7 linked regions of the Oryctolagus cuniculus genome follow. The protein of the gene in region 1 interacts with the protein of each later gene in a pairwise test. Links are inferred from orthologs where the notes say so. Each region holds a gene or a part of one and is shown on either strand. Other genes may lie near its edges.

Region 1 (3,607 bases):
GCCTCCACCTCTGCTTCTCCAGCTTGGCTCTCCGCTGCAGAACCTAGCCGGTTTCCTACATGACAGATGCCCGCGTCATGATTTATTTGCGATGAGCTGGGTGTTGGAATGTTTCAGTTTCCCAGATATGCAGGGAAGTTAGCTTACCCCACCAGCTGAGTCCTGTGCAGTGCCAGGCACAGGATCTGTGAACCCTTGGTCTTTCATGGCCCTTGGGAGTCAGATTCGTGAGGGCAATTGGTGGTCTAGAAACACTGTTTATTTTGGCGTCACTTTCTTTAAACCATAAGGCGTTTAGGAAAAGAGATCTGCAAAGCTTCACTAATATAAATATCTGCTCCATCAGTAGCCATCAGTGTGGTATTAGAACTGGCATTGCATGTCTTGGGTTCAGGTCCCAACCCTGCAACTGATTGGTGGAGGAAGATTAACTCTAAGCTCTCCCTCCTGTACAGAGTTTAATGCCCAGCACCAGCCTAGACAATTCAGTTATAATGCGAAGGGCAATGCCATGCCAGAATCCCATATCTGAGAGCGAGAGCCATTTCAGGTCCTGGCTGCTCCACTTCTGATGCAGCTCCTGCTAATGGCCTGGGAAAGCAGCTGAAGATGGCCCAAGTGCCTGGGCCCCTGCACCCGTGTGGAAGGCCTGGATGGCATTCCTGGCTCCTGGCTTCAGCCTGGACCAGCCTCTGCCATTGCAGCCATTTTGGGAGTGAACCCTGGATGGAAGATCTCCCTCTTTCTCTCTCTCTCTCTCTCTGTTTCTCTATCATCCTGCCTTCTAAGTAAATAAATAAATTTTTCTAATAAAAAGTGTTACAACGGAAATTAGCTGGTGAATTACAGATTCCTCATCTAAGTCTGAGACCTCAGATTTTAGAAGTGGAGTGGTCGGTCTGCTTGCTTTGTTTTAGTATAGTTCATTAAGACTTTCTGGAAGGAATTCTTTGAAGTTGAAATTCATGACCCCCATTTCAACAGAAGTGACTTCCATTCTGACATCAGCATATGCGTTTGATTCTGTTTTATTCCAGGTGATGAACAGCAGCATAAATCAACTGTACCCAGTGTAATTAAAACAGTTGATGGGAGTTAGGCATCCAATATAAAGCGAACAGTTGTAATGAGATACTACTTTTCCTATGTACAATTACAAGACGGCCTTGTCCCTTGCCTCCACATTTTCCTGGTCTGTTTCCATGTATGCTAACAGCCTCATCTTATGCCCGCCCCATCTGACTGCACCGCCTGCGTTCACGCTCCTGGAGCTGTGTCAAGGACTTTACTCTGAGGAAGGCCCACTCCTTCTTCCCCACCCCCACACCACTTAGTTGCTGGGGCCTTCCCTGGCCGCCCCACCAGAGAAGATGAACCCTTTCCTCTTCTACATTCCTTTTTTTTTTTTTTTTTTTTTTTTGACAGGCAGAGTGGACAGTGAGAGAGACAGAGAGAAAGGTCTTCCTTTTGCCGTTGGTTCACCCTCCAATGGCCGCCACGGCCAGTGCGCTGCGGCCGGCGCACCGCACTGATCCGATGGCAGGAGCCAGGAGCTTTTTTCCTGGTCTCCCATGGGGTGCAGGGCCCAAGGACTTGGGCCATCCTCCACTGCACTCCCGGGCCACAGCAGAGAGCTGGCCTGGAAGAGGGGCAACCGGGACAGAATCCGGCGCCCCGACCGGGACTAGAACCTGGTGTGCCGGCGCCACTAGGCGGAGGATTAGCCTAGTGAGCCGCGGCGCCGGCCCTTTTTTTTTTTTTTTTTTTTTTTTAAAGATTTATTTATTTGAAAGTCAGAGTTACACAGAAAGAGGAGAGGTAGAGAGAGGTCTTCATCTGCTGGGTCACTCTCCAGTTGGCCACAACGGCTGGAGCTGCGCCGATCTGAAGCCAGGAGCCAGGAGCTTCCTCCCGGTCTCCACATGGGTGCAGGGGCCTAAGGACTTGGGCCATCTTCTACTGCTTTCCCAGGCCATAACAGAGAGCTGGATCGGAAGTGGAGCAGCTGGGTCTCGAACCAGAGCCTAGATGGAATGCCAGTGCCACAGGCAGAGGATTAACCCACTGCACCACAGCGCCACAGCGCCACAGCGCTGGCCCCTCTACACTCCTTTTAGCGCTTCATTTATTAAAGCTTTAAAAAAAAAAACCTCTGGGCAGCAGACACAGCAGGCACAAGGAGGGCCTGAGGAACCTGCTCCCTGTTCTGTTTCACGTGGGAAAACCTGCAATAAACTAGTGAACAGATACACACAGTAGGCCCTTTTTGTAGTATCACATCACTTCAGGGCCAGGCCCTGTATGTCTTTGTTCAACGTCTGTGGGCTCATGCAGGCTGCACTTAGTATCTGCCTTACACACAGCTCTCTGTCCAAAGCACACAGTGCAGACTTGGAAGAGGAGCCCGCGAGGACTCCTTCAGCCGTGGGGCTCCAGTCTAACCAGCGAACCCTCCCTTCCTGCCTTCATTCAGTGGTGGTGTTGTTCTTTGTTAACAGGAATTGGTGGCACAAAATACATCTCCTTCGAGGAGCGGCAGTGGCACAACGACTGCTTCAACTGCAAGAAGTGCTCCCTGTCCTTGGTGGGGCGGGGCTTCCTCACAGAGAGGGACGACATCCTGTGCCCGGACTGCGGCAAAGACATCTGAAGGCCCCGCGGGGATAGCGCGCAGTCGCTGCTTGAGTCACACACACACACACACATTTATGTATTTTCTTTCTCCACCAGCAATATTGTGCTCTGGCTTCCACCTGCCTCATGTGCTTCTCAGTGCTAGTCTTGTCTGTTTAAATCCTTTCATCTTCGGGACTAAGTCAGTCCCAGGGAAAAGCGAGAATCCTCATGCAACCCTACGTGGGAAGATAGTTTGGAATTTCTGTAGTTATTAGGGCCAATCCAATTGCAAAACTCCTCTCGAATGATGTCTTTATAAGCTTATCTTTCTTTTCACTGCATATTTAAGTGCAATTCGCATATGTCACAAACTTGACTTTTAAGAACTGTATAAGGTAATGAAGCATTGGTACCTACAGCTTTTAAACTTCCTGTTATGTAAAATCGAAAGCAAGAGTATGTGATTTACAATAAAGTTATTCCAGACAGAATGTTTTGGATTAATGATTAAACGTTGGGATTCTCAATGTAAGGACAACTTTCTTGCCTGGCCCAGCGATTGTTCTGTGCCCTGCAAGTTCTGATGTGCTGGGACCGGAAGTGGTGTCACTACTTCCAGGAAGCCTGCAGATCCATGTCTCTCCTGCCTCTTCTCTTTCTTCTCGTTTCCCAAGTGCTCCCTGGAACGCACTGCTCTGCATTTGAAGCCAGTGACAGGCAGGGCCATTTGGGTGTCACTTTTCCTGGCAGATGCTGGCTTTGTCCCACTGTGATGGATCTCCTACACTGAACTGCTTTCTCCCCCATCAAGTGAAGGACTGGGCAAGGGCACAAGCAACTTGAGGGCCAGAAGTGACATCCTGTTCATCTTTATACTCAGTATCCTAGCAACTGAGGGCATGTAGGAAGCCTTCAGTGTTTCTGCAAAGGGAATGATAGAATCATTGCTGTCAGAATACTACTCTGGGCGCCTAGGTTTACAGTGGCTGAA
Region 2 (3,500 bases), on another chromosome or scaffold:
CCAGGCAGGCGTGCTGGGAGGGGTCCTCCTGGTCTCAGGCACCGAGCTACCGAGTTCTGTGGCTGTCTGCGGGGCGGCGACAGAGAGAAGTCTGGGGGCCGTGCAGAGCAGGTGCACCTGGAGTCCGAGCTTGTGATCACAGGGTGAGGACGGCTGGAGGACATCACAGGCTGGGTTTCAAGAGGGGGAGCCACCCAGCCTGTTGTGGTGGGAACCCAATGGGGGGTGGGCAAGGACCTAGCACCCCCTGGGGCTCCCCAGAAATGGTTGTCTGGGTGGAGGCTGAGAGGCCCGTGCAGGGGTGCTCCCACAGCTCAGAGGGCTGGTCCTGGCCCATGTCCTCATGGGTGAGGACCTTGGCTTGCTCAGAGCAGTGGATGCTGGCTGGTCCTATGCATGCGTATGAAAAGGCGTCGTTTGGGGCTCTGTCTCATTTCAAGCCTTCTCCTGTTGCCTCTGATTTCTACTCTTTCCCCATCATGCTCACCAAGGGTCTTGGCTTTTTTTTTTTTTTTTAAGATTTATTTATTTATTTGAAAGACAGAGTTAGAGAAAGAGAGAGGGAGAGAGACAGAAAGAGATGTTCCATCCACTGGTTCACTCCCCAGATGGCTACAGCTGGGCCAATCCGAAGCCAGGAGCTTCCTCCAGGTCTCCCACATGGGTGCAGGGGCCCAAGCACTTGGGTCATCCTCCACTGCTTTCCCAGGCCATAATCAGGGAGCTGGATCAGAAGTGGAGCAGCCAGGACTCGAACCGGCACACATATGGGATGCTGGTAGCGCAGACAGCTTTTTACCTGCTGTGCCACAGCACCGGCCCCATCATCCTGGTTCTTGTCTCCTCACCCCGCCCTCCCACACTTACGCCTCTAATCAGTCAGATCTCCTGGGAGCAGGATGGGGCACGTGGGCACCTGTGCTGGCACAGAGCAGACTTAAATGGGGAGCTGGAGCTGTTGGTGCCCTTTGGGCCTTTTGGGGAATCCAGTGCACTTGCCCCTCGCGGGTCTTGGTCTGACCCTAAGCGCAGCAGAAAGTCCCTGTTCTCCTGAAGGCGCCTGCTGGTGCACCCTGCTGGTGCGGCCGGTCCCCAGAGCGTCTTCATCTCCCCGTCTCTCTCTGGGTGCCGCAGGGTTGGCGGATGAAGACAGCTTCCCTCTGAGCTTTCCTTGGTCCCATCCCTCGATTGCGTCAGCTTGGAGACCTGGGAAAGCCGGGTTACTATTTCCCAGAGTTCCTGGGGGGAAGACGTGCACAGGGGAAGCTTTGGAAAGCCCCGCTGCAGCACTACTAGCCCATTCGACTCTCCATCTTCTCCCCTCAAGCCCGAGAGACAGGGCTGTACGTCGGGTGCACTGGCTGCCTGAAGTCACTGTGACGAATTGCCGCAGACTTAGCGATGTACAGCTGCTCGAGTTTGTTATCTGACACTTGGGAGGGGCAAGAATCCAAAATGGGTTTCCTGGCCAAGGTCACTGCATCCTACAGGGACACAGGCCCTGAGGAAGCCTCCCTTTCCTGGTCTTTTCCGGCTTCTGGGGACACCTGCCTGCTTCTCCATCCTTACTGTCAGCAGTGTGGCATCCCTGGTCTCTCTGTGTGTGGCACAGCTTCCCCCCGTCCCGACCTCCCTGCCCTGCCCCCTGTCCAATTCATGAGGACCCCGTGATTGCATTGGGCCCACTGGAGAGCATTTCACCCATCTCAACATTCTTAGCTTCTTTTTTTTTTTTTTAAAGAGTTCTTAATTTATGTAACTGAGAGGTAAAGTTACAGACAGACAGGCAGAGACAGAGAAAAAAGTCTTCCATCCGTTGGTTCACTCCCCAAATGGCCACAAAGGCCAGAGCCATGTCGATCTAAGCCAGGAGCCAGGAGCTTCTTCTGGGTCTCCTATATGGGTGCAGGGGTCCAAGGACTTGGGCCATCTTCTACTGCTTTCCCAGGCCATAGCAGAGAGCTGGATCGCAAGTGGAGCAGCTGGGACTAGAACCAGCGCTCTTATGGGATGCCGCACTGCAGGCAGAGGCTTAGCCCACTAGGCCACAGCGCAGGCCCCCATCATCTTTAACTTCTCCATACCTGTAAAGTCCCTGAGCCTGGGGAAGGTTCCAGAAATGAAGGCATGAACACCTTGCAGGGTAGGCAGGGGGAGGCTGGGGGAGGGGGGTCTCAAGGAGGCCACACCATCAGTCACATCGAGACGCCCCGAAACCTGGGTGTCAAGGCCACGTTCTCATGCCTGGTTGTATTTGCAGATGCAGAGGGAAATGGTCTACGCACGAGGAGAAGGCCCCGGTGCCTCCCGACCCGGCTCCATGGCTCATCCCGCCCACGCGATCCCGAGCTCCCCGCCGTCCACACCCGTGCCCCATTCCATGCCCCCCTCCCCGTCCAGGATCCCGTACGGGGGCTCCCGGCCCATGATGGTGCCTGGCAACGCCACCATCCCCAGGGACAGACTCTCCAGCCTGCCCGTCTCCCGATCCATCTCCCCCAGCCCCAGTGCCATCCTGGAGAGACGGGACGTCAAGCCGGATGAGGACCTCGGAGGCAAGAACCTGGCCATGTATAGGAACGAGGGTCTCTACGCGGACCCCTACCTCTACCACGACGGGCGCATGAGCATAGCCTCGTCCCATGGAGGCCACCCCCTTGATGTCCCCGACCACATTGTCGCCTACCACCGCACAGCCATCCGCTCGGCAAGCGCCTACTGCAACCCCTCCTTGCAAGCCGAGATGCACATGGAGCAGGCGCTGTACCGGCAGAAACCCAGAAAGTACCCCGACAGCCAGCTGCCCACGCTGGGCGCCAAGACGCCACCCGCCTCCCCGCACCGGGTCGGCGACTTGCGCATGCTGGACCTGCCGGCTCACGGCGCCCACGGGCTCCCCCACACCCTGCAGCCCGACCGCGCCTCGCCCAGCCGTCAGTCCTTCAAGAAGGAGCCGGGCACCTTGGTGTACCTGGAAAAGCCACGGAACCTTCCGGGCTTTGTGGACCTCGGGCCGCCCCTGGTCGAGAAGCAAGTATTCACCTACAGCACAGCCACTATTCCCAAAGACAGAGAGACCAGGTAAGGCGTGGGGAGAGTGGGCGAGAGCTGGGCTGCTCTCCAGGGGTCCCCCAGGGAACACAGGGCACGCACCAGCCTCGTGCCGCCCACAGCTGACCCTGGTCTGCCAAGTGTTTCCAAGTGGGTGGGGTCCGGTGAGGCTGTGCTGAGCGGGACAGGTGCACCCGTGGGGTCAACAGCGTGCAGGCCTTGGGGTGTGGGTCTCACGGTGTTGTCACCATTGTGCACCTGAGCCACGCTGAAGAAAGTCAGGCCGTGCAGGAACCATGGGACACAGACGTCTCCAGGGATTGTGGTCACTGCTCTGCTGTCCGGTTTAGGGAGTGAGGGGTTCAGGGAGGAGGCGTTTGAGTGGCGCTTGGCGTTTTTCGTTTAGAATGTGGTTTTGTTTTGTCGTTGTCTTCAGGATTGATAAAAAC
Region 3 (3,943 bases), on another chromosome or scaffold:
TGCAGCCCGGGGCCGGCTCCCCTCTCCCCTGCGTGTTCATCCCACGGGGGAAACACACGGTCGTGCTCAGACCCGGTGCCCTCGAACAAGTGCCTAGAACGAGCGCCCGCTCAGCAGCCCCTACACTCAACACTGCGACTCTGCGGCTGCGCACGTGCCCATTCCCCTCTCCTCGATTCTTCTCTCTGTCGAAGTCAGCAGCCTGAACAGCACGTCAGAAAGGGCTGTTGTGGTAACACAGAGCGAAAGGCAATGTTAAAAGTCTCTTCCAGGCCACCCCTCTCCGTGTCAGCCCTAGAAAGACATCAGGCAACATCTCTAGAACCTTCCATGGAAGGTTCTCTGCCTTCCGGGTAAAGCCAGGCTGCTTTCTAGCCCTGTACACGCCTGTGGGTTTTTCTCCTCCACCCACAAATCCTGTCCTTTTCCCTCATTCCTAAACACCTACCAGTTCTTACCCTGCCCTGCCTCCCGGTCAACTCCTACACATCCTCCAAGACCCTGCCCGAGTCTGCACGCCTCATCCCCACCCAGCTGAAGCGTTTTGCTCCCGTGTTCTGCCCTGTTCTTGGCACGCGTGAAAGGCGTCCGTCACACTATTTACACACGTTTATTTTCACTTCTGACTCTCCTGCATTAGTGGCCGGCGCTGTGGCATAGCAGGTAAAGCTGCTGCCCTCCACGCCAGCATCCCATAGTTTGTGTCCTGGCTGCTCCATTTCCGATCCAGCTCCCTGCTGCTGGCCTGGGAAAGCAGCAGAAGTTGGCCCAAGTGCTTGGGCCCCCACACCCGCGTTGCAAGACCCCAGTGAAGCCCCTGGCTCCTGGCTTTGGCCTGGGCCAACGCTCGCCATTGCAGCCATGTGGGGAGTGAACCAGGGGATGGAAGATCTCTCTCTCCTTCTGTCTCTCTCTGTATAGAACTCTTTCAAAATAAAGTATATCTTTTTTAAAAAGAGGAAGGGGACGGGCGCTGTGGCGTAGTGGGTAAAGCCACCGCCTGCAACGCCAGCAGCCCACACAGACACCAGTTCGAGACCCAGCTGCTCCACTTCCCATCCCGCTCCCTGCTAGTGGCCTGGGACAGCAGTGGAGGATGGCCCAGGTGTTTGGGCCCCTTTCCCCATGGGAGACCTGGAAGAAGCTCTTGGCTGTGGCCTGGCTCAACCCCTGCCCATTGTAGCCATCTGGGGAATGAACCAGCAGATGAAGGATCTTTCTCCTTCTCTCCCTAACTTTAATAAATAAATACGCCTTTAAAAAAAAAAAAAAAAAAAAAGGAGGAGGCTTGAGGCCAGTGCGGGAGGACGTCAGGTATGCTGAGTTAATGAACATTTGCATACAGTCACCTCTCCTGGGCCTTGTTTAGAGCCCATACATTCTGTTCCAGGCCAGCTTTCCAGTTCCAGTTGCTTCACTGTCAAGCCCGGGACTCCACCCGGGCTCGGTGACTCAGCTCTGTCAGGGTGCAGGGGTTCGGGGGTGGTGGGGTGGGACACCCCGCTGGGCCCCCGCCAACCTCGCCTGGCACAGGAGCTTCCCCAGGGCCCCAGCTCGAAGGCGGCACAAGTGGCCCAGGAGAGCGCGTGGAGGGGTTTTGAGCTGTGTGGCTGGGTTTGCCCTTTGGAACGCTCTCTTTTCTTACTCTTAGTAGAGGTACAGCCAGGAAGGGGGCTTGCTGAGGAGATGACCCCTTGTCCTCATGTCGGGACCATCGGGGGCCTTGAGCCTCCTTTACAAACCCTCCCCCAGCCGAGAGCTCTCCCCTTCCAAGATGGCCCCTAAGCGTCCACTGTGTCCCTGGCCACGCTTTAGACTCACGACCACTTTTAACACGTTCCAACGTCTGGGTCGCATCCACGGAAAGCCATAGAGCCCAGGCCTGGGTACGGAGCAGCTCCCCACGTGGCTCCATGGGGTGCCGGTGAGAACGGGGGTACCTGCCACCCCCACTCACTCCTGCCCGCCCCCTGCTGAGTTGCCCCACCCTACCTGCTGGATCTTCGTGGAGCCAGGGCCGTGGGTGCAGGGCAGCCATCTCTCCTGTCTTCTCCCCGTCTTCCCTTCCCGCCACTGCTGCCTTCAGTGTCTTTGGTGTCACTTTCTCCCCATTCCTAGTTGCATAGGTCCTCGTCTCCCTCCACTCCAGGCCCTGGGTTTGTCTTGTCCGCCATCGTCCCGTCCACTGCCGGCCCATGGCTGGCTCCAGTAAGCTGCATGGCGGCTGCCGCTCGCTGGTCCTGACGGCTGCTCGCAGTCCTACCCACTTCTCTTCCGGGCCTCGCCATCCTGCGCCCCCACATCCTTTCTCCCTCCCTGCCCACCTCCTCCCCCCTTTCCTTTTCCTGGGCATCTCCTGTCCTCTTCTGCACGTAGCTGCTCACATCTAATCTCTGGGCTCCAGAGGGTGAGGGGCCCTCCCCGGGGTGCTGAGAGCATGGGAGAGAGGGCGGTGGCGGCTCTGAGTCTGCCGTGCTGTCGGTGCTGGCACTGCCACGCCAGCCCTGACCGCTGGCTGGACGGTGGCTGCCCATCTCTGCAGAGCCATGGAGGCATCAGAGCCGCAGACTTTGCAAACCATCTCTGGGGCTCTTCGGCGCCCAGCCAGGGAACGGCTCGAGGGGACGGACAGACGCCTAGGGGCCGGTCGCCATGGCCCGTGTGCGTTCTGGGTCCGTCCACGTCTTCAGTGATCCAGCTCAGCTCCATGTTTATGACCGTGAAGCACTCACAGGCTGGCAGACGCGGCTCCCTGTCACACCCCGGCAGCCACCTCATTCCCTGGCCCAGGGCCACACACAGCTGCCGTCCCCCCCGCCCCCGCCCCCTGCCTTTCTCTGCTGCCCAGGGAAGCAGCTCTTGAGCCACGGCCTTTCTCATCCACTCCTCTGCCCCTGGTTCCCTGCCCAGGCCGGTAGTGGCTGCCCACCAACTGCCATGGAATCTTCCAGTGAGACATTCCCCCCATCCTTCCCCACAGGGTTCTTCCTTGTGCCCTGGTTCCTCCCACCCCCAGTTCCCTGGGGCTGGGGTCTGTGGAGCCCAGGAAGAAAGAGCAGGGCCCCAGGAAGTGTCTTCCTTTAGGTGGGAAGGCACTGGTGTCTCGTCAGCCTTCGTGGTCACCACCAGGGGGCGCCCAAGGCATTCCCAGAAGCAGCTGCCCTGCGTTTTCAGCCCCGCAGCCAGGGCAGGCTGGCATTGAGATTCAGTTTAACAAGTACCCGCTGTTGACCAGGCCTGTTTGCCACTTCCTCAGGACGGAGAGTGTGTCCGAGCCTCTGCGGAGAGACTCCTCGCACAGCCCCATTGCTGGGGCTGCCGTTTGGCACAGGGGGTTAGACCACTTCTTGGGACACCTGCATCCCATATCTGAGTGCCTGGGGTCAAATCCTGCCTCTGCTTATACCAGCTTCCTACTGATGCACCCTGGGAAGCGGCTGGTGATGGCTGAGGTACTTGGGCCCCTGACACACACCTGGGAGGATCAGATTGAGCGCCTGGCTCGTGACTTTGGTCTGCTCAGCCTCAGATGTTGAGGCATTTGGGGAGTGAACCAGCAGATTCTCTCTGTCTCTTTGCCTTTCAAATACAAATAAAATTTGTGACACCCGCATACTCATATCAAGTATCTGGAGTTGGGTCCTGCCTCTACTTTTTTTTTTTCTTTCTTTTTTTTTCTTTTTTTTTTTGACAGACAGAGTGGACAGTGAGAGAGAAAGACAGAGAGAAAAGTCTTCCTTTTCTGTTGGTTCACCCCACAATGGCTGCTGCGGCCGGCGCGCTGCGGCCAGTGCGCTGCAGCCAATGCACTGCGCTGATCTGAAGCCAGGAACCAAGTATTTCTCCTGGTCTCCCATGGGGTGCAGGGCCCAAGCACTTGGGCTATCCTCCACTGCACTCCCAGGCCACAGCAGAGAGCTGGACTGGAAGAGGAACAACTGGG
Region 4 (3,500 bases), on another chromosome or scaffold:
TGGTAACTCTACTCTACACCCTGTTATAATGGGTCGGGACTACCCAATGGTCAAGTCATTGGTGGGAGCTACTATGTCTGACAGAGACCTAGGGAAGAATGCTTTGGGGGAGGCAGAAATGACATGGAATTGGGCAGGCAAAAGGTAGGCAAGCAGGAGATGCAGAACTCTGAGGGGCAGGGGTCACTGGGGCAGTCTTCCTAGAACATCCGTCTCTTGTATGGAGTGGCTCCAGCTGAAAGAACAGTACAATGACCTTACCCTCCTCCTGCCTACCAATCCTGACATACTTGTCACTGAAGAGCTGAAGGGATATGGTCATGTATTTTGCCAATTTAGCTGGTGAATCAAAACAGTTAACTAAATGCATGTAAAAAAAGAATAAACATGTCAGAGATTGCTTGTATTGCTTACTTACGAAACATGTTAACTTGAGAAATACAAAGTTAGTAACAATAAAGACTCAACTACAATCAGGATTTAATAATTTATGATCCTTTCCTAAATATATCACAAACTATATTTTATATATTTCTTTGAAAAATCTAAAAACCGGCAAGGCATTAACTGATAATTACTCTCAAGGCTGATGTTGTTTTGCACTTGAATCATTATTTCACCAAGATATTAGTAAAAAACAGTGTACTTAGCCTTCAGATTAATACAGAAAGTGGGTTTCTGTAGCACTGTTTTTTTCAAGGAAAGGATTTGGACTTGAAGAGAATGTGGAAAAGACAAACTTTTAAAAGTACTTGCTGGCCGGCGCCGCGGCTCACTAGGCTAATCCTCCGCCTAGCGGCGCCGGCACACCGGGTTCTAGTCCCGGTTGGGGCGCCGGATTCTGTCCCGGTTGCCCCTCTTCCAGGCCAGCCCTCTGCTGTGGCCAGGGAGTGCAGTGGAGGATGGCCCAGGTGCTTGGGCCCTGCACCCCATGGGAGACCAGGAAAAGCACCTGGCTCCTGGCTCCTGCCATCGGATCAGCGCGGTGCGCCGGCCGCAGCGCGCCAGCCGCGGCGGCCATTGGAGGGTGAACCAACGGCAAAGGAAGACCTTTCTCTCTGTCTCTCTCTCACTGTCCACTCTGCCTGTCAAAAAAAAAAAAAAAAATAAATAAATAAAAAAAATAAAAGTACTTGCTCATTACCTGTATGTTTTCGAAGATGCTCTTTAAAATGTCCAAAGTGGTCAAACTGTTTCTCACAGTACTGACAAATGTGAATTTTTTTCCCAGTTCTTTGCTTCTTACTGACTCCACCTTCTTCAAGGTGGTAACAATTTAGGTGCTGTTTCCATGCGCTCTCCCGAAGATACCTTTTATTGCATATTTCACACTTGAAACTCTCAGTGGAGTGTGATTTCATGTGTTCCTTAAAATGGTAAAACAATTTAAATGAACGGTTACATTTCTCACAATGGAATAAGTCCTTCACATGTGACAGCTGAAGTTCCACAATTTCAATACCTTCTACCTGTTTGCTTATGGGGTCAGATGCACAGCCGTCTTCTTTAATCTGTCCTTTCCTATCACCTTGACGGTACTTGCTGGTAATGTCTGCCAACAGTGCTAGAGCGGAATCATCAGAGGAAGCTGTGCTCTGTATGTATTTTATGGACTGCTTAGCAGAAGCCACTTCCTCTAACGTTTCGATGCCTTCATCTTCCACCTCGATCGTGCCCTCGGCAATCTCCACCTCGATTTCAACAGGTTCTGATTCTGCAGACGGCAATGACTCAGTGATAACATTTGAAGTTTCTGCAATCTTCCTTTTTTTGGCCTCACTTTTTCCTGTGGTATTCTCCTCTAATGGAGCTGAATTTTCTTTGTTTCTGAAATACAGAATGTGTAGATTTTAAAAATCTGTAAGATTGAAATCTTAAAAGGCTTTTCTGAAGAAACTGATACAGAAGAACAGAAAACAAGGTTGGATAGCTTATACTTTATGACCCCAAGACTTACTAAAAAGCTACAATTATGACAATGACATTTGGTAAAGTATAAATATGAAGATAAACACAACAAAATAAAGTGCAGAAACAGATCCACACTTGTACATTAAATTTATTTCCATAAGAAAAAAAGTTCCTAGGCAATACAATGGAGAAAGCTAATTTTTTTAACAATGGTACCAGAACTGGTATGTGTATGGGAAAAATAACCCTTATCTCACATCATACACAAAAAAGTAGACCTCAGGTTTAAATGTAAGAACTAAAACTATTAAATTTCAAGAAAATCTGCAGGCAATCTAGTGAAAAAATTCTAAAGTAGCATACCAAAAAAAAAAAAAAAAAAAAAAAAAAGGCAGAGATCCCTAACAGCAAAATCTGGTGAAATTAATTTCATCAAAATTAAAAATTTCTACCCTTTAGAATTACAGTTAATTAAGAGGCAATTTATGGAAGATATTTATAAACATCCATCTGTCAAAAGTATTATATCCAGAATGGGATAAGCTATCTTACAACAAGCGCAATAAAAGATGACACCTGTTGAAAGACTATTCTCTAAGAGTTTCTTGAGTGTCTGAAAATCTTACAAACGTTTTGGACTCTTCACAGATACATGCACACAGTACAGACAGGAAAGGTTTTTTACTGTCCCATGTAATAAGGACAATAGTCCCTCCCTCTAGGATAAAGGCCAGGCAGGTTTGCTTGTAGCTCATCATAAAAGACTTGGGTTTTCTAAGCTAAATATTCCTTAGCTATGATATAAACCACTCACACATACAGCATTCACTTGGGCCATCCTATGCCACCCCTGTGGGACGACTTAAGAAGGGAAAACTAGTGTCAACTCAAAACTCTGCTACTTGCTGTGATCATGGATGGTGATAAAATCCTGTCCTTTGGGCCCCTAAGTCTTCTGATCTACCAGCATCCATCACCCAGTGGTGGAATAACTTGCTAGCTTGTGAGCAAAACCTCAGATCCCTCATAATTCTTGTCAGTTTCTGGCACTGAGGACAGGATACCAAAACAAGGTAAGGTTTTCTGAAAGCATGAGGGGCTGGTATTGCAGCACAGCAGGGTAAACAGTAGCCTGTGATGCTGAGTGCTAGTTCAAGTACTGTTTCTGCATGTGGGAAGGCAGCAGAAGATGATCTAAGGACTTGGGCCACTGCATCCATGTGGGATATCAGGATGCAGTCCTGGCTTTGGTCTGGTCCAGCTCTGGCTATTGCAGCTATTTGGGGGAGTGAACCAGTAGATGGGAATATATTTCTCTCTCCTCCTCCTTTTCTCCTTCTCTCTCTCTCTCATGTTCTGCCTTTCAAACAAATAAATAAATCTGTAGAAAAAAAAAAAGAGGAAGGATGAAACATCACATAGCAATTAACGGACTATGAGGAAAGTTCACGGAATTTGGCGGTAAACACATTGACCAAATTGTATAGTCACAACTGGACAATAAAGAATCTTCCACTTTATTGCTATCACTGTGAACTGTGTCTTCCTCCTCCAAAAGATGATTACAAGGGGCTAGCATTGTGGTGTAG
Region 5 (3,961 bases), on another chromosome or scaffold:
TTCACTGTGGGTGAGGTTCAGTCCAAGTGTCTTCCAAGGATTGTTTCATACACTTTCATAAACACTCAAGAGACAGAGACCACTAAAAATCCAATGTTATAAACCAAACTGAAAAAAGGTTAAATGACTAGAATTCTCACCCAGGTCTGACAAACACCGAACCCACACTGAAACGGCTGTTAAACTGCTGCTTTTCCAAGTTAGGGATCAGAAAAACATGCCTGACTTCCACAACTAGGCTAACCTTCCTAGGTTAAGTTTAAGCTGACATAAAACTTTAAAAAAAAAAAAAAAGCCAAGCCAAAACCAACAACAAGAAAGTCACCTAATAAAAACCCAACAGTGAATGACGTAATTCTAAATTAGAAGTCCTTTTCTTGCTAGAGAGAGCGGGAATCAACATTCAAATACAAAAATTAAAAAAAAAAAAACTAATTTGGTATTAGCTAACTATTTCCTCAAGCCTCCTGACTCTGAAGCCCTGTGCTCTGGCACACTGAGGAACCACCCCTGTTGTCTAACAAGTAACAACACAAACCCTACAACACAAACGCAATTGTTAGAGAGCTAGTCTTTCAGACAAGATAGGAGCTTCTTCATAGGAAACGTTTGTACTCCCATTTTTCAATCTCTTGTTTAACACCTCCCATTTTTACTTATTTCTACCCAAATCTAAAGCATTTTATGCCCTAGGGCTGGCTACTAAATGACCCGGGCTAAGTAACAACAGCATAAAGGATAAAGTCTAAACACCCAAAAGACTGGTCAGCAGTTTCTGGACTCAACCCAGGGTTTTATGGCGCTGGTTAACTGTTAGAGATGGTAAAGGAATTTAACATTTGATCCAGAAAGTCCTTTTATCACTTAAGTCTCCGGAAAATGTTTGATTACTTTAAAAAATTATGTGTGTGGATCACACGTTTTGTTTATTGGAAAGGGGGGCTGCTAATACATACCATCTGGTTTAGAAAAAAAAAACCAAAAAACAAAAAACCTAGCTTACTTGAATGGATTATTTTGGCAATAGTCAAACGCGATCCGTCATGGGGGCGCTACCTGCACGGTTCTCCTGGGTGAGGGCCCCCTCCTGCTGCTTGGCAGTGCAGCGTTTGGGGACTACCACTTTAATAGCAAAGCCAAACTCCTCGTTTAAAACCGACAACACAGAGACACAGACGTCCCAAGATTCATTATAGACAATCTATTCAGGCGAGGCTACAACCGCCCCAGGAAATATAAACAGTGTCCGCGGAGGCAGCAGGGGGAGAGGAAATAACCGACGCGGAGGAAGCTAATCCTGTGAAGTCGGTCCAACTCCACAGGGTCCAGTAAGCCCCCGGCGGCTTCCCACTCGGAGCAGCCGGCCAGCGCGCCCCGGCGCGTGGGCGCAGGGGACCTTCGTCCGCCCCCGGGCTTGGGTCGGCTCTGCCCTGGTCTAGCCACGGGTTTGAGGGTGACCGCGACGTGCCAGGCCTCGCCGAGCCCCTTCCCCAGATTTCTAGCCGTCCAAAGTTTCTCCCCCCAACACGCGGGAAGGTGAACGAGAACCACGGCTTCCCTTTCCCAAGTTATGAATGGTTGAAGTCAAGTTCGTTAAGATTCCGAGAAGCCGAGCGGCGAGTCTTAGGAGACACTTGGTGGCAGCGTTTTCAAATGATCTTTAATCGACAGGCCCCGATTAAAACCAAAACAAAAGTCAACCCGATCCGCGGTACTAGTGTCCGGGTAACACCTTAAAAAAAAAAAAAATCACGCCAGACCCCAGCGGAGCCCTGACCTCCTCCTTACCACCTGCAAGCACAGGCTGCGGAGGGGCAGGCTCCGGGGCTGCGCCCGGGGTGTCCCCGCGGCTCTCCCCCGCGCGACCCGCTACTTCCCCGCTAGGCTCCCGGCGCCGCCAGGCTCTGGTCCCCAGAGAGCGCAGAAAAGTAGGGAAGAGGGGCGTGGCGCCCCCGGCCGCCCGCCGGCCCTCCTCCAAAGCCGGGCACCTCAGCCAAGAAGGGTTGGGAACACTGGGGACCTCCCACCCGGGCGCGGGGCTCGCGGCCGAGGGCCGGCGAGGGAGCAGGCGCGCGGGGAAGCCTCGCCTCCAGCCTCTACTCTCCACCGGGGGCCGCGTCCCTCGCCCCAGCCCTCGGCCCCGGCTTCCCGCGCCCTCCGGTCGCCGCCCGTCCAGGGCGCGCGCGCGCCGTCTCGGTCTCCAGGTCTCGGCGTCCCTCGACCTCCGTCCTCCACCCCCTTCTGCGGCGCCCAGTGCCCCGACAGTCCCCGCCCTCCGGGACACTCTTCCTCCCTCCTCCCTCCTTCCTTCCTCTCTTCCCTCCCTCCATCTCGCTTCCCAGCACCCGGGGCTCGGAGGCGGCCGCCGCCCCGCGCTGCGCCCCTGGGCCCGCGGGGCCCCGGCTCCCCGAGCGCGCGCGCCCGCCGCCCGGAGCTCACTCGCTTGCCGCTGCGCTGCCCCCACCGCCGCTGCCGCCACCGGGGACTCGGTCTCCAAGGGCTCCTGGAGACGGCTCCGACCTCTCCTCCTCCTCCTCCACCTCCTCCCGCTCCTCGGGCGCCGGCTCCGCCTCGCTCGGGTGGGCGGGGCGGGCGGCCCGACGGGCGGGGCGGCGGCCGCCCGGTCTCCTTCCTCCGCCGCGGGCCCCCCCACCTCCGGCCCAGACGCCCCAGCCGCTGTACCCGGCGGCCGCGGGGCCCGGGTCGGGAGCCGGCGGGGCTCAGCGAAGGGTCTGGCCGCCCTGGGCCGTCGTCCGTTCCCCGAATTCTCATGGCGTGCTGGAGTTCCAGGGACTCGAGGGCCCCCCGGCCCAACCCCACCCGCCTCTCAGCCGGGCCCCGCCAGGTCCGCGCGAGTTCCCTTCGCGTGCAAGCGCCTTGGCAGCCTGGTGCCATCGGTCCCCTGGGCCCCCGAAGATGAGCGCTGCCAAACCCCTGCACAAAAGTTAGGCTGGGCTCCAGAAATTTCTGAGGAAAACAGGCTCAGTACCATTTAAAGCGCCTTGGGGCCACGGAGAGATTTTTGCTCCCCAGAGAATGGAGGTAAAAGCGAATCTTTGCACTTGATGGCGCGTCCACCCATCCTGAGCTTGCCTCCTGTCCACTCCCCACCCCCATGAAATGTGTGTTTCCTGATGTCCAGAACTTGGCAAAGCCCTGAGCAATGAATTAATTGGGTTTGGTTGAGCTTTTCTGGACAGATTCGGGGTCAGGTAGTTGAAGAGCCGCTTTTGCTAACCTGGACTTCATCCAGCCACCCAGCAAACACTGAGCACAGGCTATATGCCAAGCGAGGTGCTAAAGCGAAAGATGGGGACACAAATCAGGGGGCTTGCCCTCAAAAAGTGTCGAAGCCAGAAAAGCTACAGAAGGTCTTGCTGGCTAACAGACTTACAGAGTATCCCCAGGTATCTGCATTCTTGCTTAACTGGGTGGAGATGAAAGAGAAGATGAGGCCCAAGTTGGGGACTTGGAACCACTGGGGGCAGAGGCCATGCTTGAGGTGGAGTCTTGTGTGTTGAGTTTTACCAGCTGCTCAGAAGTGGGTCACAGACATCCTTCCAATCCTGCCCATTACTCAGTATCAGTCTTAGTGAAATCATTTGGGCAGGGTGCACAAGGGGGTGTCCCAGATGCAGGGAGTGTGTGTTTGGGTGCCTTGCCCTTGATGGTGTGGTCTTAGCAACCTGTGGATGGCAGTGGTTGCTGGCGCACAAGCCACAGCCTGCCAGAGAAGCCCTTGACTTCCTGCTCTGTATAGCATTAGGAAACATCCGACTGATTCAGACAAGATTCAAAGGATACATCATAACCATTATAGCCTGAAACCAACAAGGACTTGTTGCACAGGGTTTGCACCTTTTGGCCCCAGACCTTACAAGTTTGACTCCTACAACCCTACCACCGATTTCCCTTTCTGGGGCACTTTATAGTTTATTAGATGCTTTGATGTACTCACTCT
Region 6 (4,106 bases), on another chromosome or scaffold:
TCCACAAATCACCAGTTGTAAAAAATGAGGGGGAGGGGGGCTGGCGCTGTGGCGCAGTAGGTTAATCCTCCACCTGTGGAGCTGGCATCCCATAGGGCGCTGGTTCTAGTCCTGGCTGCTCTTCTTCCTATCCAGCTCTCTGCTATGGCCTGAAAAAGCAATGAAGGATGTCCCAAGTCCTTGGGCCCCTGCACTCACTTGGGAGACCCAGAAGCAGCTCCTGGCTCCTGGCTTTGGATCGGCGCAGCTCTGGCCTTTGTGGCCAATTGGGGAGTGAACCAGCAGAAGGAAGGCCTTTCTCTGTCTCTCCCTCTCACTATCTATAACTACCTCTCACAAAATCTTTTAAAAAGGGGGAGGGGGGCAGGTATTTGGCCTAGTGCTTTGCATGTCAGTTAAGAAAACATGTCCCAGGCACTGTGGTGTAGCAGGTAAAGCCGCTGCCTCCAACTCTTCCATCCCATGTGGGCATTGGCTCAAGTCCCAGCTGCTCCACTTCTAATCCAGCTCCCTGCTAATGGCCTAGGAAAAGCAGAAGATGGCCCAAGATCCCAGCCCCTGCTACCCACTTGGGAAAAGCTCCGGCTCCTACCTGGTCCAGCCCTGGCCATTGTGGCCATCTGGGGATGAAAGAATCAGTCTCTCCCTCTCTTTCCCCCTTTGTGTAGCTCTTTCAAATTAATAAAAAAATTTTAAAAAAGTATTCCATATCAGAATGCCTGGATTTGATATTCATCTCTGGCTCCCAACTCCAGCTCCTTGAAATTCAGATCCCAGCAGCAGCAATGATGATTCAAGTACTTGAGTCCCTGCCAACCACGTGGGAGACCAGACTCATCTGGTTACTGATACTTGAAATAAGCTAGTACAATTATAACAAGTTATGATTGTATTTCCTTTTAATTCATCGACATCGACATGAAATTGCTACATGTGGTTACTCTACTAGATAGCACAACTCCAAGTCTTGTATCTCTAATCCATTGTTGGCATGTTACTAACCTTAACAAGCAAAAAACATTCGTTCAAAAAGATATTTTGATAGCTATATGGAGAGAAATGTTTCAGTATTAAAAACACACAGTTGGAAATCATGGTTTCTGCTTTCCCAGAGTACACAGTCCATGGGAGCTGTGAAGCAGGCAGGCACAATCAGAAACAAGTAACACAGAGCAGGGTCTCTTTGACAGGGCCCTACAGAGCTGGGCTAATGGGAACCTTGCAATAGAAACAGGGCCTTAAAGGTCGGGCAGCAGGAAGAGGGACGTAGGCAATTGGGAGAAAGGAAGGGCGATGGTAAGGAACAGGGAGGGCCAATCAGAAGACCCAAAGCCAGCTGGAAGAGTGGTTCCAAGCAAAGAAATCACAGTGGGTAAAGCTAGCAAGGTGTTAGGGGCAGTTTCCAAACCTAACAAAAAAGAGCCAGGCAAAGAACCATTCTAAGAAAGATCGCGAAGAGGAAAGGACCAGACTCTGGAAACAGTTAAATGATGGTTCACATGCGAGGGGCAGCTAGTGGGAGACGGCTCCAAGCGGAGGGTCACGAGGCAGCCAGACGCATCAACAAGCACGGAGACTGAAATCGAAGAACAGAAAAGGCTGGGATGTGAGGTCCAAACCGGAGACTCCCGATTGAAACCAAGAGGGGGAGAAGGAAAGGAGAACACACTCCAGGACAGTCTCCACGTCTGAGAGAATTTTTGCAGGAACAGAAGGGAATAGAGGCAGAGAAGGGGCATCCAGGTAAGTCAGGCGCCTGCCGGGGGCAAGAGGAGATGTCTCACTGTGTACCCTCTTCATGAGCTTTCCTGCCATCCCATCTGTGCAAAGATGGAAGCACTGTCTTACACATTTCTATCCCAAACACTGTGCCTGGGCCCCTGCTGCCCACGTGGGAGAACCAGGTTAAACTCCTGACTTTGGCCTGGCTCAGCCCAGGTGGTTGTCGTCATTTGGGGAATGAATCAGCAGATGCAAGATCTCGGTCTCTGGCTCTCCTTGTCTCTGTAATTCTAACCTTCAAATAAGTTAATAAAGTAAAAGTCACTTTAAAATTTTTTTAAAGAAATTATCTTCCCAACCTGGGTCCTTAAAGAAGCACCCTAGCACAAAAGAAGCAAAGCTGGCCTGTGTTTTCGGTCCATGACACTCTCTGGGCTGCAAGGAAGAGATACAAGCTGTGCCAGGGCTGGGCCCACTTTCAACCTTCCTGCAGCTCTGACACAAGGAAAGCCCTGGGAACAGCTCCATTCACCTGCTTCAATTCAAGCCCAGCACATGAAGTGCTGGCTGCAGGCGCTGCAAGCTGACAACAGCGACAGGTGGGTGAGTCCACCTGCGCTCCTAGCTAAGCCGCAGGCTGAGGCCCCAGCCCCGCTTTGTGGGAAACGCCCTGCCTGGCTCCGGAGTCGGAAAAGCCAGGCTTCCCCAGCCTTGCGCTGGGCGCAGCCTCCTTACCCGCAAGAGCACAGGTCGCAGATGCACTTCCTCTTCACAGGGGCCATCCTGAGGCCCTGATGTCCCCTCAGAGCACCCCCAGCGGCAGCTGCTTGTAGACCCCAACAGCCCAGGAGGGAGCACGCTAAATCTCAAGGGCCTTGGCAGAGATTCTGAACATTCACACGAAAGAAAACCAAGTGGCCCTCTTGTAAAGTCTTGTCCTCCGTTCCCTTCCCGGAGCTGGCCTTGCGCGCCGAGGGAGCAGCACGGAGCCTGGGGGGGCCTCTCCCTGCACACCGCCCGGTCCCACTAGCCTGGTGCGGCCTCCCCAGCCCCTGGAAGCCCCAGGGCCCGGGATCACGGGTCCTCTATGACATCACCAAAGCCAGGAGGAGCACGCCTTGAGATGGTGGTGACATCACAAACACCGCTTGTGAGGTCGGGAAGCTCCCGGCACCTCCCTTGGGGGGCCCAGGACACAGTCTCCCCAGCGGACTTTGGGGAAAGCTGGAGAAACATTGGAGGGAAAGCTGCTGGGTGCTGCCATGCGCAAACGCCACGGTCAATTGTCCTAAGAGGCCGAAAACTCTCCTGCGGCGTGTGGAGTGGCGTTTTCTACTTCTAGGATCCACGGGTGCCCCGCCGATGGAAGTGCACCCCTTGACCTCCAGAAGGCCGAGCCCTGAGTACCGTTTCCAGATCTTCCTGTGGAAACCCACTCTCTAGCCTCAGGGGTCAAAGCCGCCGTTCCCCACAGTTCTGAGCGCTGGAGGACGAGGCCCTTTATGAGCGCAGGCTTTCACGGCTCACGTGGGTGCTCAATCCCTTCTCCAGGTGTAGGTAATGATGCCTTGGAGCAGCGCATCTGAGAGTTTAGTGGGCATCAGAACCACCCGGCTTGATTAAAAACCAGCTGCTGGGGGCTCCGCGCCGGGCAGGTCTGGAGTGGGCTGAGAATGGGCATTCCTTACAAGTCCTCTTGCTGATGCTGCTTGCCAGGGACCACACTCAAGAACCATGGTTCTAGAGATTCTTTGGCCCTCTCCCAGCAGCCTTCCCCCAACGACAGTGTTGCTTCCACTTGCCTGGCCCTGAGAACCATGGGAAGGAAGGAAACACCGCTTAGAAAGCAAGTTTGACACTTTTTCCCTCCAGGATGTAAGATACTTTTACAGCTCTGTTGTTAACACTTTTGGCTGTCTTCTTGCTTCAGTTAGGAATGCTTTGATGGTCAATTCTTCCCTGTTGATAGATACGTGATTTCCTAACATGAGATTTTATAAAAGAGGCTTTTTTAGGATGGCTTAAAGGACGGTATGTGAGCCCTAATTTGAGAATTACCCAACCTTGCTCCTGCTAGTGTGAGTCAGGGAGATCCTGTGGCCTGCTCTCGGCAGCTCTCCGTGGCCTGAAGGAGAAAATGCGCTTTTCCTTAAGGCAAGTGAATCGTGCCTTTTCCACGGCTCGGACCAGACCCTTTGTTCTTCACAGTACAAGGCCTGCTTGTTGGACATTCTGGGGGAATGGCTGTGATACTTGGTATTCAGTTGGCTGCATTACTGATGTGTGTGATTTTTAAACACTTGAAATATCAGACAATGTTGCATGTTTTAGAAACACATTTCATCCCTTCAGCTACCCAGGACCAGCGCTATTTAAGACATTAG
Region 7 (4,289 bases), on another chromosome or scaffold:
TGCAGATGTGAGACGGGCCTCTCCATTTCTGACTTCTGGAAGCCAGGGCTGCAGCCAGAGTAGAGAGCATGAGGGAAATGAAACCAGGTCCAGTGATCAGTTTATTCATCTCTGAAATGGGTCTACCAACCACCATACAGGTTTGGGCACCGGGCAAGGCCAACTGGAAGCTCCACTCTTACCACATCTCTGCTAGAAAACCATCACGAATAATTAAGGACACGAAGGGGGCAGCTAGCTAGGTCTCAGGGGATGCGAGAACTCAAGTGTCCCACTTGCCTGAGCCCCCAGCTTGCCAGGTGCCACGCCTCCTTCCTAGCACAGGGCTAGGTCTCTCCTGGGCACAGTCCCAAGGGGCCTGGAGCTCCAGCTGGAGCCCCAGCCCCTTCCCCCTCCTGTCAGCTGGGAATTCTGCTTTTCCAAGTGGCAGGGAGGCTCCGTGTCCCTAAATTCTGCATTAATGCTTAAGGGAATGAGAAGAACGGGAACGAGACCAAATTATATACACAAGTGTTTAAAAATCGTTTATTATGTAAAATGTTAACTTTTATAAAAAGTTTAATATACATCGCACGGTTACAGAAAGTCACCTTCCTGTAAAAAAGTACAAAAGCTATATACTCTATTATAGAGTTCATAATCAGGGAAACAGCTGCTCCAGGGAGACCAGGAGACCAGCCCTGCCGCCGCCTCGGCGGACTTTGGGGTGTACCCACTCTCACCCCCACCCCCCACGGGAAGAGTCTGAAAACTTTGAGGGTGTAGTGGGGGCAGGGTGACGACGCCCAGCTGGTGACCTGCGCTAGCTCTGGCTCTTCCGGCCACCCAAGTTCACAGTCCTTCGCTCCCGGGCGCCAGGTCCAGGCTCGAGACAGGGGGGTTCGGGGGAGTGAAGTGGGCAGGGCGAGGTTGGGGCCCATCCATGCCCTCGGGCTTCCGGCCGGAGAAGGTCGCGGGGGGTCCCAGGCGGAACGGGCGCCAGCACCTGCGTTCTGGGCGGGGGAGAAGAGAGGAGCCGTCAGTTTCCGCCGAGCGCGCCGAGGCGGGGGCCGTCCGCAGACTGGCCGGCGCCAGGGCGGAAACTCGCTCTCTACCTCCAGCTGATAACTCCGCGCCCCACGCTGCCCCCACCCAAGTTGGCGCCAAAGGACCACAGGCGGAGCTTGCGCTCGCCCTCCCCCCAGAATGGACACTGCTGGCGGGGCGGGGGGGGGGGCGCGGAGAAGACACAGCGCCCTTTAAAATGACTCCCAACAGAAAGGCTATTTTACTTGGTCAGAACCGCGCCTCCTTGCCTGGCTCTTTGGCCCCTGCATGCAGCCAGGGGCAACGTGCAAAGGTTAAACAGGGAAACGCACGTTCGACCGAAACTGGTTCTGCCATTCATTTGATGGGACCACCGACATTTCACTTGCGCCCCCCACCCCCGCCCCGGCCTGAATGGTCCTGCGCCAAGGAAGGGATAATCCTTTCAAAGGCCTGCCAACTCCAGCCTCCCTCGGCCCCTACCCACCCCCGGGGGGCGGGGAGGCCAGACTCACCTGGAGGTGCCAGGTCATCCAGGTCAGTGGCAGAAGCTCCTCTTGTCGTTGGAGATCACGAGTTCCGGGGCGAGCTCTGCTGTCTGCAAAAGGAGGAGAGCAAAGGGAGAGTCAGGCAAAGCGCTCGGCACCTCGGGGGTCCCGCCGCATCCCGGTCTGGGCGCTCAAACCCCGCCCCGGCTCCCACGCGCACCTGGATGGGGAGGTGCGGGCCGTCCGGGGGTCCGGGCGCCGGCTCGGCCAGGACCACCTGCAAGTCGAGGATGTAGTCGATGACGCGCTGCAGGATTTCCACCTGGCTAAGCTGAGTGCCTCGCGGGACGCCGGGTACCAGTTCCCGCAGGCGCGAGTAGCAGTGGTTCATATCGTCCAGCAGGCTCAGCGGCTCCTCGGCCGCCGGGCCCTTGCCGCGGCCCCGCGCTATGGCCAGACTGCGTTCCGACAGGCAGCACACCGCCTCGTAGCAGCCGCGCACCGGGCTCAGCGCCTTCATGTTGCAGCGGGAGGGCTTCGGAGATGCACACGAGAGGATACAGCTAGAAACCCACTGGGGCAGCAAGCAATGCGCGCACGCCCGCCGCCGCCCGCCCTTTATAGCGCCCGCCTCGGGGACACGCCTCCTTATTCAAATCGGCCCGCCCGGCCCCGCCCCCGCCCCCGCCCCCGCCCGGCCTGGGCGTTCACAGCCCGCTTAAATTGCTAACAGGCTTCTTCGAGCTGGGCGCTCGCCGGAGACCGCGGAGCCGCGGATCCAAGGAATGAGGAAGCGCTGATGCTGGGGATAGGCGGGCCTCTTCGCCAGCAAGGATTTAAAAAATCACTTAAAACCATTAACTTCAAGAATCTGCCTTTTCCTGGCAGCGCCCCAGATCTTAGAGCTCCCCTGCCCCCTGCCAGGCCACCCTTAACCCAGCACTGGTTCGAACCCACAGCTCCTCCGAGGTCATAAATCGCTAAACAGCAAAGCTTTTTTTTTTTTTTCCTAAGCAAAAGATTTTTTCAAGGGAAACTTGTAAGGAATTAGTGCCGCCTTGTTCCCCAATTTGCTGTTCGTCTGACCTCCAGACTCACTGGCGTCAGGAATTATCTTGTGACCAGAGGGAAAAAAAATTAATTGCGGTGAAGCTGAGGTTACAATGAAGAAAACAGATTTGGGCTAGGCGCTGAGATTGCAAGAGGAGGAGGGGAAGGGGGTTTGAGCAAAGAACACTATTTATTTGAGCAACAGGGGAAAAGAGAAAAAAAAAAAAAAAAGGAGAAAGCCTGGATCCAGCGTGCTTTTTGCATGGGGGAAGAAAAGAGCCGAGGCTTCGTTCCCCATGAACTCCTTAAGGAATCGAATGCATGCCCAGTTGTGCTTGGGAAATGAATTTTGGACAGGGTTTTCAATATGGGAGAGCAGGAGAAGTGGTTTCCATATAAACCTTTTTAGGAGCCCCGATTGGGTCAGCACATCTTGGGTAACTTTTGCTTCCCAGCTCCCCGCACGGTCCCCCCCCCCCGACCCCCGCACCTTTCCACACAGCTCTTGCAGAGGTCCCTGGTGAGCCCGCGGCTCTGTCTCTGCCCCCTTGCTGCCCGGGCAGGGCCGCCACCTGGACTTGATTGTCCGCAGCCCTGCTGAGGTGGCTGCAGCTCCTCCTGCGAGACCAGCATTGCCACGGGACACTCGTCAGCCTTCCTGTCACCTTCCAGCACTCTGGGGACTCTGCATTTCCGCAAGGCTGGTTTCCATCTTGGAAATGACCAGGAAGCATCCCCCCAGTGGTTTCTTCCTTCATCAGCAAATATTGATGGACTCCGTTTGCATAAAACAGTGGCTCCCGCTCTCAAGAATGTCACAATTAGAGGAGACAAGATCAACACAGGAAACAATGAAGAGTTCAATAGTGTGTGGCGTTGATTAACAGGACAATAGGGGCTCAGGCCTGGGAGACTCAAAATAGTGACAGTGGGAAGGACACGGGACTGGAAACCAGAAGCCCTGCATTCAGTGTGCCCGCTCGGCCAGTCCTTTGTCAGGTAATGGTGAACAAACCCAGATACCCCGACCTTAGCTGCCTTGGGAGTAAAGTGAGACGGTGCCAAGCGATTATTTAAAACCCTTTCCAACTGTAGATGGTGAAGGCTTTGTGAGATTTGGACAGGCAGGTGTAGGATGGCAAAGGGCCCAGACAGGATGTAAAACAAGTCCAATGTCACACTACCTGCCATAGCAGAACCAGTCTAGGAGCCTCCTTCCTGCCCCGGTCACACCACGGGCGGTGTGTCCTGAGAACAAGGCCTTCCACAGTCTTCCTCTTGGGAGAGTAACCTTTTCAATGAGGGGGCTGCTTTAGTATCTATAAGAGAGGGAATAACCTGTGAACAGTCAGTCTCAGGACGCTGCCAGCGTCAGGTGCCAGCCATTCGGTCGTGGGACTCCCCAGCCACCCCACAGAAGAGCCTCTCTTCTACCGCGCAGTGGTTTGTGCAGAACGGGCCAAGCCCGGCAGATTCTAGAAAAGTGACGGCCTTCGGAACAGGCAGATGTATGCGCAAATACGCACTCTTTCCGTTTATTGATGTGTCACCTCTCCGTGCCTTAATTTTCCCATCCACAGAATGGAGCTCATCGGCTCAAGTGATTACTGAATGCCCCGTTCTGCAAGCTGCTTCTCCCCACCGGCCCTTCCTGGGGACCTCCATGGGGGCGGCGGGGGGGGGATAGGTGCTTGGTGGGCCCCTCCCTCTACTCTATTGATTACC

The links.
Region 2: the proteins of FHL2 (region 1) and KIAA1217 interact in binary tests that used the Homo sapiens proteins (3 or more experiments, as listed by UniProt). The two-hybrid records come from large-scale screens. The link is inferred for Oryctolagus cuniculus from reciprocal best matches to the Homo sapiens genes FHL2 and KIAA1217.
Region 3: the proteins of FHL2 (region 1) and SP2 interact in binary tests that used the Homo sapiens proteins (3 or more experiments, as listed by UniProt). The two-hybrid records come from large-scale screens. The link is inferred for Oryctolagus cuniculus from reciprocal best matches to the Homo sapiens genes FHL2 and SP2.
Region 4: the proteins of FHL2 (region 1) and ZNF131 interact in binary tests that used the Homo sapiens proteins (3 or more experiments, as listed by UniProt). The two-hybrid records come from large-scale screens. The link is inferred for Oryctolagus cuniculus from reciprocal best matches to the Homo sapiens genes FHL2 and ZNF131.
Region 5: the proteins of FHL2 (region 1) and GNG12 interact in binary tests that used the Homo sapiens proteins (3 or more experiments, as listed by UniProt). The link is inferred for Oryctolagus cuniculus from reciprocal best matches to the Homo sapiens genes FHL2 and GNG12.
Region 6: the proteins of FHL2 (region 1) and SAXO1 interact in binary tests that used the Homo sapiens proteins (3 or more experiments, as listed by UniProt). The two-hybrid records come from large-scale screens. The link is inferred for Oryctolagus cuniculus from reciprocal best matches to the Homo sapiens genes FHL2 and SAXO1.
Region 7: the proteins of FHL2 (region 1) and ID3 interact in binary tests that used the Homo sapiens proteins (3 or more experiments, as listed by UniProt). The link is inferred for Oryctolagus cuniculus from reciprocal best matches to the Homo sapiens genes FHL2 and ID3.

The regions. Positions count from the first base shown.
Region 1 is NC_091433.1:103,248,674-103,252,280, forward strand, and holds the end of FHL2 (four and a half LIM domains protein 2), read left to right. Parts: intron 1-2,498; coding exon 2,499-2,650; 3' UTR 2,651-3,107; downstream 3,108-3,607. UniProt on the Homo sapiens protein: May function as a molecular transmitter linking various signaling pathways to transcriptional regulation. Negatively regulates the transcriptional repressor E4F1 and may function in cell growth.
Region 2 is NC_091444.1:105,128,045-105,131,544, reverse strand, and holds part of KIAA1217 (sickle tail protein homolog), read left to right. Parts: intron 1-2,260; coding exon 2,261-3,081; intron 3,082-3,500. UniProt on the Homo sapiens protein: Required for normal development of intervertebral disks.
Region 3 is NC_091448.1:24,182,599-24,186,541, reverse strand, and holds the start of SP2 (transcription factor Sp2), read right to left. Parts: upstream 2,801-3,943; 5' UTR 2,354-2,800; coding exon 1,993-2,353; intron 1-1,992. UniProt on the Homo sapiens protein: Binds to GC box promoters elements and selectively activates mRNA synthesis from genes that contain functional recognition sites.
Region 4 is NC_091445.1:68,707,333-68,710,832, reverse strand, and holds part of ZNF131 (zinc finger protein 131), read right to left. Parts: intron 1,828-3,500; coding exon 1,145-1,827; intron 1-1,144. UniProt on the Homo sapiens protein: Plays a role during development and organogenesis as well as in the function of the adult central nervous system. May be involved in transcriptional regulation as a repressor of ESR1/ER-alpha signaling.
Region 5 is NC_091438.1:104,714,618-104,718,578, reverse strand, and holds the start of GNG12 (guanine nucleotide-binding protein G(I)/G(S)/G(O) subunit gamma-12), read right to left. Parts: upstream 2,801-3,961; 5' UTR 2,683-2,800; intron 2,595-2,682; exon of another isoform or gene 2,440-2,594; intron 1-2,439. UniProt on the Homo sapiens protein: Guanine nucleotide-binding proteins (G proteins) are involved as a modulator or transducer in various transmembrane signaling systems.
Region 6 is NC_091432.1:182,004,870-182,008,975, forward strand, and holds the start of SAXO1 (stabilizer of axonemal microtubules 1), read right to left. Parts: upstream 2,801-4,106; 5' UTR 2,505-2,800; coding exon 2,458-2,504; intron 1-2,457. UniProt on the Homo sapiens protein: May play a role in the regulation of cilium length. Stabilizes microtubules at low temperature.
Region 7 is NC_091438.1:147,378,166-147,382,454, reverse strand, and holds ID3 (DNA-binding protein inhibitor ID-3), read right to left. Parts: upstream 2,801-4,289; 5' UTR 2,035-2,800; coding exon 1,735-2,034; intron 1,625-1,734; coding exon 1,565-1,624; 3' UTR 1,542-1,564; intron 993-1,541; 3' UTR 499-992; downstream 1-498. UniProt on the Homo sapiens protein: Transcriptional regulator (lacking a basic DNA binding domain) which negatively regulates the basic helix-loop-helix (bHLH) transcription factors by forming heterodimers and inhibiting their DNA binding and transcriptional activity.